Cricetulus griseus: one gene and its partner. The protein of the gene in region 1 interacts with the protein of each later gene in a pairwise test. Links are inferred from orthologs where the notes say so. Each region holds a gene or a part of one and is shown on either strand. Other genes may lie near its edges. The genes, in order: Rgl2 and Rap1b.

Region 1 (4,265 bases):
TTCCTCCTGTCATGTGGTTCTTGGGACCCCCCACACACACACACACAGCCACCCCAGCAGTCTGTCCCCCTTTTTAGATATTTTATTTTGTATGTATATGAATGTGTACCACATGTGGTTGGATGTCAGAGGGTAGCTCTGGAACCAGTTTTCTCTACAACCTTGTGGAATCCCACATCAGCCTCCTGCAATTGACCTCCTGCTGAGCCATCTGACCAGCATAAGTTTTTAAGTGCAGAAGACAATCAGAATTTATTGCAGAGTGAAGTAGGGTACCATCAAAGTAAAGGGACCGTCGTGGAGGAAAACTCTCAAATTGTGAAAGAACAATGGCCAGGGGGACCATTGTGCAGCCTGCATTAAGGCTTGAATATTACATACCCAGAGTATTTAAACATGTAAACAATGTAAGAAATTCCAAAGCTCAGAGTGCAGCCCAGGAGTAGAGTCTGCTTGACCTCAGATGACCCAAAGGGCCTTTGAGAAGATGGCCCCTCTCTTGTAGAATACTCAACACTGTGTCTGGCAGGTGGGAAATGCCAGCACCATGAGGATGTTTCTAGATTAACCAGGAGGAACTCACTCTACGCCTAAATTCAAATTCTCCACTTCTTTCTTCTCTTGCAGAAGTCACAGTAAAGAAACTCAGATCAGTGGACGCCACTCTCAGTTTTGCCCCAAACGACTCCAGGAGCTCCTCCCCTAAACGTCATCCCTTCAAGTCGTCTTCTCCTTCCATCCAGTGGCTGGGGTTTTCTATGTCTTACTTTTGTTGTTGTTTTCTTGTTTTAGCCCTGGCTGGCTTGGGCCTCACCAAACCAACCAGGCCAGCCTCGAAGTCCCAGAGATCCGCCTGCCTCTGCCTCCCTGGAGTAACCCAAAGGCATTGGCCACTGTGCCTCGATGATTGTTAATTTTTTTGTTTAAGCATACATCTAGCATTCTTAAGATTCTAGGGCAGTGGTTCTCAAACTTTTGGGTCCTGATACATGTTAAAAATGACCAAGAAGCCCAGAGAGTTTTTGTTATGTGGGCTACAGCTATTGAAACTAAAAAAAAAAAAAAAAAAAAAAAAGCCAGACAGCCACACTCTGGAGGCAGAGGCAGGCGGATTTCTGTGTTTGAGACCAGCCTGGTCTCCAGAGTGAGTTCCAGGGCAGGCTCTGAAGCTACAGAGAAACCCTGTCTTGAAAAACTAAAAAGTATACATATATAAATATATATATTTACGATATATATATATATTTATAATATACACACTATGCAGTCGCTCAGAGCCACGGGGTTAAGAAGCGCCACTGTAAAATCTAGAGCAGCGGTTCTTAACCCGTAGGTCACGACCCCTGTAAAACCATCGGAAACATCAGATGTTATGAAACATTAGAATTCAAAACAGCAAAATTACAATTATTAAGTAGCAATGAAAGTAATTTGGTGGTTGTGCTCACTACAAAATGAGAAACTGCATTAGAGGGTCGTAGCACGAGAGGTCACAGTGTCATCGTGCTGTGCTGGGGGCTCTGGGGCGGCTCACGACGGTCCCGGAGTCCCCGTCCCCCCCCTCCCGGGGGGGCACCTGTCTGTTCGTGTGCCAATAAAGTTTCCAAGCAGGTCTCTCGTCCCGCCGTCTTTGCGAGCACAGCGAGCCTCTGGGTCGCCTCCCGGCCCCGCCTTTCCCCGGTCTCCCCGATCCCCCCATGCCGGGGCGACACCGGCACCGCAGGAACTGCGCGCGCACCGAGAGACCCGGACTCGGGGGGCGACGGACCAGAGCGGAACCCGGGCGACGGAAACGCCGCCGCGGGCGCCTCTCCGGCCGGCTTCCGGCCCCGTCCCGAGGGCGGGCGGGCCCAAGGGCGGCCCGGAAAACCCGGGGCGGACTCGCTGGGGTGCACTCGGAGCCGGGTGGGCAGTGTCGCCCGCGGGGACCGGGCCCCCCACCCGGGCGCGCTGTCGTTAGAGATTGGCAGCTCCGCGCTCGCCCTCCCGCGGGGCCTGCGTCAGGGCCCCGGTGTCCCGCGCGTCTGCGCTGCGGTGCGCGGGCTCCCGAGTCCCCGGGTCGGGTCGCGGGGACGGCGGGTTGGGCGGGGTCCGGCCCGCACTGCCCGCACTGCCCGCGGCGGCCGCCCTGGCTCCCGCCCTCACTTCCTTCCCTTCCTGGCTCCGGCCGGCCGGCGGGCGGGCGGGCGGGCGGGCGGCGGGCGGGGGAAGCGGAAAGGCGGAGGCCCGGAGAGCCCGGCGGGAGCGCAGCCCCGGGACCGCCAGCCGCTCGCTCGCCCCTCCCGAGCAGGCCAGAGCGGAGCACCCGCCGACCCCGACCCCGACCCCGGGCCGGACCTCGGCTTCCCCCCCCGACCCCGCCGCGGGGCCCCGGCCGCCCGGCCCCACCCGCCCGCCCGCCGCCCGCGTCTCCGCCGGCGCCCCCATGGCCTGAGCCCGCGCGGCTCGCCCGCCGCCCGCCCGCCCGCTCGCCCGCTCGCCCGCTGCACCCGGCCATGCTCCGCGGCCCCTGCGGCTGCTTCTGGACACGAGCCCCCCCGGGGAGTCGTGCTGAGCGGCTTCCGGAGTCGGGACCCCGAAGAGGGTGGGGACCCCGGTGGCCGGGCCGAGGGCGGGGGGCAGGAGGAGGAGGAGGAGGAGGAGGAGGACGCAGAGGTGAGGAGGACGCGCGGGTGGCGGGGTGTCCGAGGCGCTCCCCTCCCTGTCGGTCCGTGTGGCCCGGGACGGCCGCTCGCCTGCGGGGCTCGGCCGGCGCCTGCCTCCGTCTGAGCGCTGCCTCCCGTCCCCACCCACCCCACCCACCCCACCCCCGGCTTGTTTGGCGGGGAGGGGTTTGTTTCCATGGTAACCAGCGCCTCGGCCTCTAGGATTCGGGAGGGAAACCTCAGGTTTCGCCGCCCCTTCCCCCGCCCCCAGTGCGCGAGTGCGGGCAGCGAGCCTCGGGTGGCACACCTGGAGAGACGGTCCCGGCCTAGCGGGACAGCGGTCACCTCCGTCCTTAGGGACAGCCGTCGTGGCCAGCAGCAGGGCTGGGGGCCCCGCGAGGGTCTGGAAGTCAGACTCGGAGCCCAGGAGGCCCCGGACCGACTCCGGCCTGGGTCCCCGCACGGGTGAAGTTAGGTGACCCGCAAGGCTGGTTTTTCGGGATTGGTCGGGGGAGGGGCTAGGGCCACATGACTCTGAGTCTGTCGCTGCCCCACCGCCATCCTCACTTCCCCTTCTTGTGCCTGGGATCCGAGCCGCCGCCTCCAGAGGGTCCCGGTGCTGGGATCTAGTGGACGCCGCACTGGCGTTCGGGAGACTGGGGAAAGGGAGTCAGTCAGTCGGTCTATGGAGAAGACTCGCTTTGGGCTCCTCTGGTTCAGTCAGGGAGGGCGGGGCATGTGACGGCCTGTGACGGGCGTGTGAAGTTTCGGCTTCTCCCTGCTTCAGGTCTCTCCTGCCTTTGGCTTTGTGCCTCTCCTGGCGCCCTGCCTTTTCGGCCGTGTTGGGCTCAGCTGTGGGGGGAAGGGGATTTGGGCGTGAGCCTGCAGCCTCCTCTGCCCCACCGAGCTCTGAGGCGGTTGGGGGGCTGTCTGAGCCCCAGTGGGGGGTAGACCTGGGGTCACCAGCACCCTCTACCCCTCGTACTCGCTGGTATTGTCCCCTGCCATCACAGGTGAGGGGTACAAAGGGAGGAGCAGGGCCTGGGGAACAGTGGCTGGGGACCGGGGACTGAGGTGCTGTGGGCCTGACTTCCTCTTGCTTGCTCCTCCAGGCTCCTGTGTCTGTGTGGGATGAGGAGGAGGATGGTGCCACCTTTACTGTCACAAGCCGCCAGTATCGGCCTCTTGATCCCTTGGTGAGATCATGATTTTGACTTCTCACCTCTGACCCTTTCTTTGGCTTTTTTTTCTCTCTTTTTGGCCAGAACACTAGGCTGGAGGGCTGGAGTCTAGGACCCCGAGTGGTGTGATTTAAGCCATGGACCCTGTCCTTTCTGAACCTTGGCAAAAAAAAAAAAAAAAAAAAAAGAAAAAGAAAGAAAAAAAAAAAGAGCTAAGTCCGGATTATGCTGGACATGGAGCAGTGAGACTGAGGTCAGTGAGCACCCTCCGTGTTCTCCAGGCCCCCCTGCCCCCGCCTCGTTCCTCCCGGCGGCTCCGCGCTGGCACTCTGGAGGCCCTGGTCAGATACCTGTTGGATGCCCGGACGTCAGGGGTTGACGTGACTTTCACTCCAGCCTTGCTGGCCACCCACCGGGCCTTCACCTCCACGCCTGCCCT
Region 2 (3,807 bases), about 94 Mb from region 1:
ATTACTGTACTCTCCAATACAAAGTATGGGGTGTGTTAAAGTATACAGTACACCGTTTTCATACATGTACAACATTGGTGGATGAAGAATGTCTCTTAGCAGTAATACTGGATGTAGCCTCTGGTCTGACCAGCTGCATTCTCTAGAACTATTATATAAGTAAAAATCTCTCGTGACACTGGACAGTAATCAGAATGTGCAAACTGATAGAGTAGCTTTCATCCGCCTCTTAAGGGAACCACCACAGGAAAGTCCGTTTAAGATGTTGGTAGGTTTAACAAAGTTGGAATGCTGGCACTGTTGAATAGGGCAACAGTTCTTCAGACCTGTGGAAGGGAAAGAAATAAACACTGAAATGGTACAACAAATAACATAAGGAAACAGCCAAAGTCTCTTGTTCTAATCATTGCATTAATGACAGCTAAGATATAATTACTTTCCAAATTTTAAAAATAAAAAGAAATTGGAGGTTGAAGAGGCAGCTTAATGATAACGAGCTGAGCCCTGGCTGCTCTTCCAGAGGACCCTGGTTCCATTCCTTGTACCTCTCACCTCAATGCTTCCGATTCGGGCAGACTTTTCCTAAACTCTCAGTTAACATACCACTTTGGGGCCCCGATCATGTGCCATAACAGCACGGCAGAAACCATGGACTCAGAAGCTAGACAATCTACTGAAATTCTGGCTTGGAATTGCTCATAATTCTGGAGTTAAATACAGAGTGCCTGTTTTGTGCCCAGGCTCCTCATCTGTCATGTCTTCCTCAAAGGCTTGTTTTGGAGTGTCTGCCCTGCTGGGGTGAGCAGAGGGACCACTAGTGTAAGTTGCCATGACACACAGGTTTTAAAACTGTCTCTCTTCCGTTATATCTCAATTTATCTTGCTTCTGATGAGAGCTAAATGAAATCTATAGTTTTACTTTCCAGGATTATCACAACAAGGCATGACATCATTTGCTTGCTTTTACGGCAGTCTTTGGAATAAAGTAGGCATAAGAGGAATGTCACATACCTGGCTCAGAGCTACAATGCACCCAGGACATTAAAGCAGCTGACATGATGACTTTTTGCGGGCCTTCCCAGGCACTGGAGTTTTTCTGTTAATTTGCCGCACTAGGTCATAAAAGATCTGCAAATAAATTATTAGTTAGAAGGAGCTGCAGAATTTTATTCAATTCAGTTAGATCTCTCCTGTCCTACAGAGAGGGGGGGGAGGAAAGAGAGAGAGAGCCCCTTTACTGTTTGAGATCTTTCTGTATGCCTTCACTCTACATGGCTTCACCCCCTTCAAGAACCGTGCATGTTTTTCTGAGTTTGAGCTTTTTCCCTCAAATACTCAATGAAATGAATGTTTTCCCACGCTGGCCCTCCTCTGCCCAACTTTCCTTTAACAGTAATTTCACTGTATAAGCACCACAAAGAAGATGAAATATTGTTACTTATTTACATGCATACACACAGTAAGATTGTTTTCTGCCTATAAGAGCACCTATTAACTAGGCATTCTAGTACAGTACTTTCCCATTAATTGAACAGTCTTTAGGATTTTTATTATTTTTATGTGTGTGTCCTCATGAATTCATTAGGCATGCAGAGTTCCAGAGAAGTCACAAGAGGGTGTTGGAGTCTTAGGAACAAGATGGTTAGCTGGGCGGTGGTGGCGTACGCCTTTAATACCAACACTCGGGAGGCAGAGGCAAGCAGATCTCTGAGTTCGAGGCCAGCCTGGTCTACAGAGTTCCAGGATAGCCTCCAAAGCCACAGAGAAACCCTGTCTTGAAAAACAAAACAAGAGTTCCAGATGGTTATAGTTGCCAGGTAGGGGCTGGGAACTGCACCAGGGTTCTCTAACAGTAAGATCTCTCAAAGGCTTAGCCACCTCTCCAGCTGCTTCCCATTAATTTAAAATGTTATATTCAATATAAAAAGCTTCTCAATACATGTGAACATACCTCATTAACATTTATTTTTGATTTTGCAGAGGACTCTAAGAATGCACAGTTGTTCCATTGTCTTGCTAGGTTTTGACCTTGTTCCTTCCCTACAACTCTTTCATCTTCCAAGTCACATTTATTACCAACCAGAATCATTGGAACCTGCAAAGACATTGGTGAGGGTAAAAACAAACAGTTACAAACAATAAAGATCAAGCTATAAACCACTTACAAAAGAGGGAAAAATTATACCACAAAGGACTTAATCACAGTGATCAAAACAACCTTTTAAAAAGGAAGTACAAAGGGTGTTGCCATGAAAAGCCAGCAGATTTCAACACTTTAAAATGTTCAAGGGTGTGAATCAACTTCACGTTTTTTTTTTTGTTGTTGTTTTTTTTTTTTTTTTTTCCTGGTTTCTGAGACATTTAATGAATTGCAAATACAAAAAGGAGAAATTAAGGAGGCCCCAAAAGCAGAAACTTCAGCTTCTCACGGTCTCAGCTTGAACCGCTCACTTTCTGTATGACATGATGAAATACAGCAACTTCGTAAAATTTATTAACGGCATCACGTTTAGATATATCCCATGTTTGTAATTTTAAAAAAGCAGCCCACGGAAAGTAACGCTTATTTTACCAAACCACCAAGGGCCATTTAAAAATCAGCTTCTAAAGTACTTTTGGGAGGTGGAAAAAAATCCAAACAAGGAAAACAAGAATCTAGGCTTTTAAAAGAAATTTAAAAATCTTTTATAAATACTTTAACACAATGGATAGAAAACCAGACCCTCACAAATTCTCATCTACAGAATTGTAGAAAATGATGCTTACATCATCAGTGTCTTTAACCCGAAGAATCTGCTCTCTCAGATCTTGTAAATCATTAAATGTAGACTGTGCTGTGATGGAGTAAACCAAAGCAAAGCCCTGCCCATTCTTCATGTACAAATCTCTCATTGCTGTAAATTGTTCCTACAGTAGAAAGATTAAAAAACAAGAATGTGTTTTGATACAAAAGCAGACCATTTTTAAAACCCACACTTAACAGCTTAAAGAATACTGTAGTATTATATAACAGTTCTTCAAATGATAAGATTATAGTAAGATACCGTCTGAAAATTACATTGTAAGAAAGTTCTTTAAAAATGACGCCACAGCTTTATATACAACACATGCTCAATTGGAACAGACACTATGTTTCTTTTTTCTTTAAAGATTTTATTCATTTATTTATTATGCACACAGCCTTCTGCCTGCATGCCAGCAAAAGGCACCAGATCTCATTCAAGGTGGTTGTGAGCCACCACGTGGTTGCTGAGAATTGAACTCAGGACCTCTGGAAGAACAGTCAGTACTCTTAACTGCTGAGCTATCTCTCCAGCCCCCTGGACACTATGTTTCTAAAGGCAACTTTTTCTATTTTTGTTTTTTTGAGACAAGGTTTCTCTGTACAGTCTTGTCTGTCCTGCTTTGTAGACCAGGGTGCCTCTACCTCCCAAGTGTTGGGATTAAAGGTGTGTGCAACCACAGTCCAGCATTAAAAGCAACTTTTTAACCTATCATAAAGTGTTGAGCACTAGTCTTATTCTCAAGGTACAGTAGACCATAAAGCAGACATTCTGTGGGGAAGTGTGCATTCACACCTGTATCTTACCATTTTTCTACACTTCTTCACTAGGGTGTGGGTACCTGTGGGGAAGAATAGTGTCTGGCATATTTTGGTTTTTCAAACATTGGCTGATGTCTACTGCACAGCCAGAATCTTTCTTTTATTTTTGGATACATACAAACATAATTGGCTGTTATGGCCTGGATATAGACTGGGTAGTCCCAAAGGATTCATGTGCTAAAATTTAACCCCCATTCTGATGT

The links.
Region 2: the proteins of Rgl2 (region 1) and Rap1b interact in a two-hybrid assay, tested with the Homo sapiens proteins (2 studies listed by BioGRID and IntAct). The link is inferred for Cricetulus griseus from reciprocal best matches to the Homo sapiens genes RGL2 and RAP1B.

What each region holds. Positions count from the first base shown.
Region 1 is NW_023276806.1:232,083,004-232,087,268, reverse strand, and holds the start of Rgl2 (ral guanine nucleotide dissociation stimulator-like 2), read left to right. Parts: upstream 1-1,420; coding exon 1,421-1,426; intron 1,427-1,611; coding exon 1,612-2,655; intron 2,656-3,757; coding exon 3,758-3,841; intron 3,842-4,107; coding exon 4,108-4,265. Other genes in the region: Tapbp (tapasin), read left to right, coding at 628-639. UniProt on the Homo sapiens protein: Probable guanine nucleotide exchange factor. Putative effector of Ras and/or Rap. Associates with the GTP-bound form of Rap 1A and H-Ras in vitro.
Region 2 is NW_023276806.1:138,557,879-138,561,685, reverse strand, and holds part of Rap1b (ras-related protein Rap-1b), read right to left. Parts: intron 2,908-3,807; coding exon 2,767-2,907; intron 2,096-2,766; coding exon 1,952-2,095; intron 1,129-1,951; coding exon 1,042-1,128; 3' UTR 1,012-1,041; intron 327-1,011; 3' UTR 1-326. UniProt on the Homo sapiens protein: GTP-binding protein that possesses intrinsic GTPase activity. Contributes to the polarizing activity of KRIT1 and CDH5 in the establishment and maintenance of correct endothelial cell polarity and vascular lumen.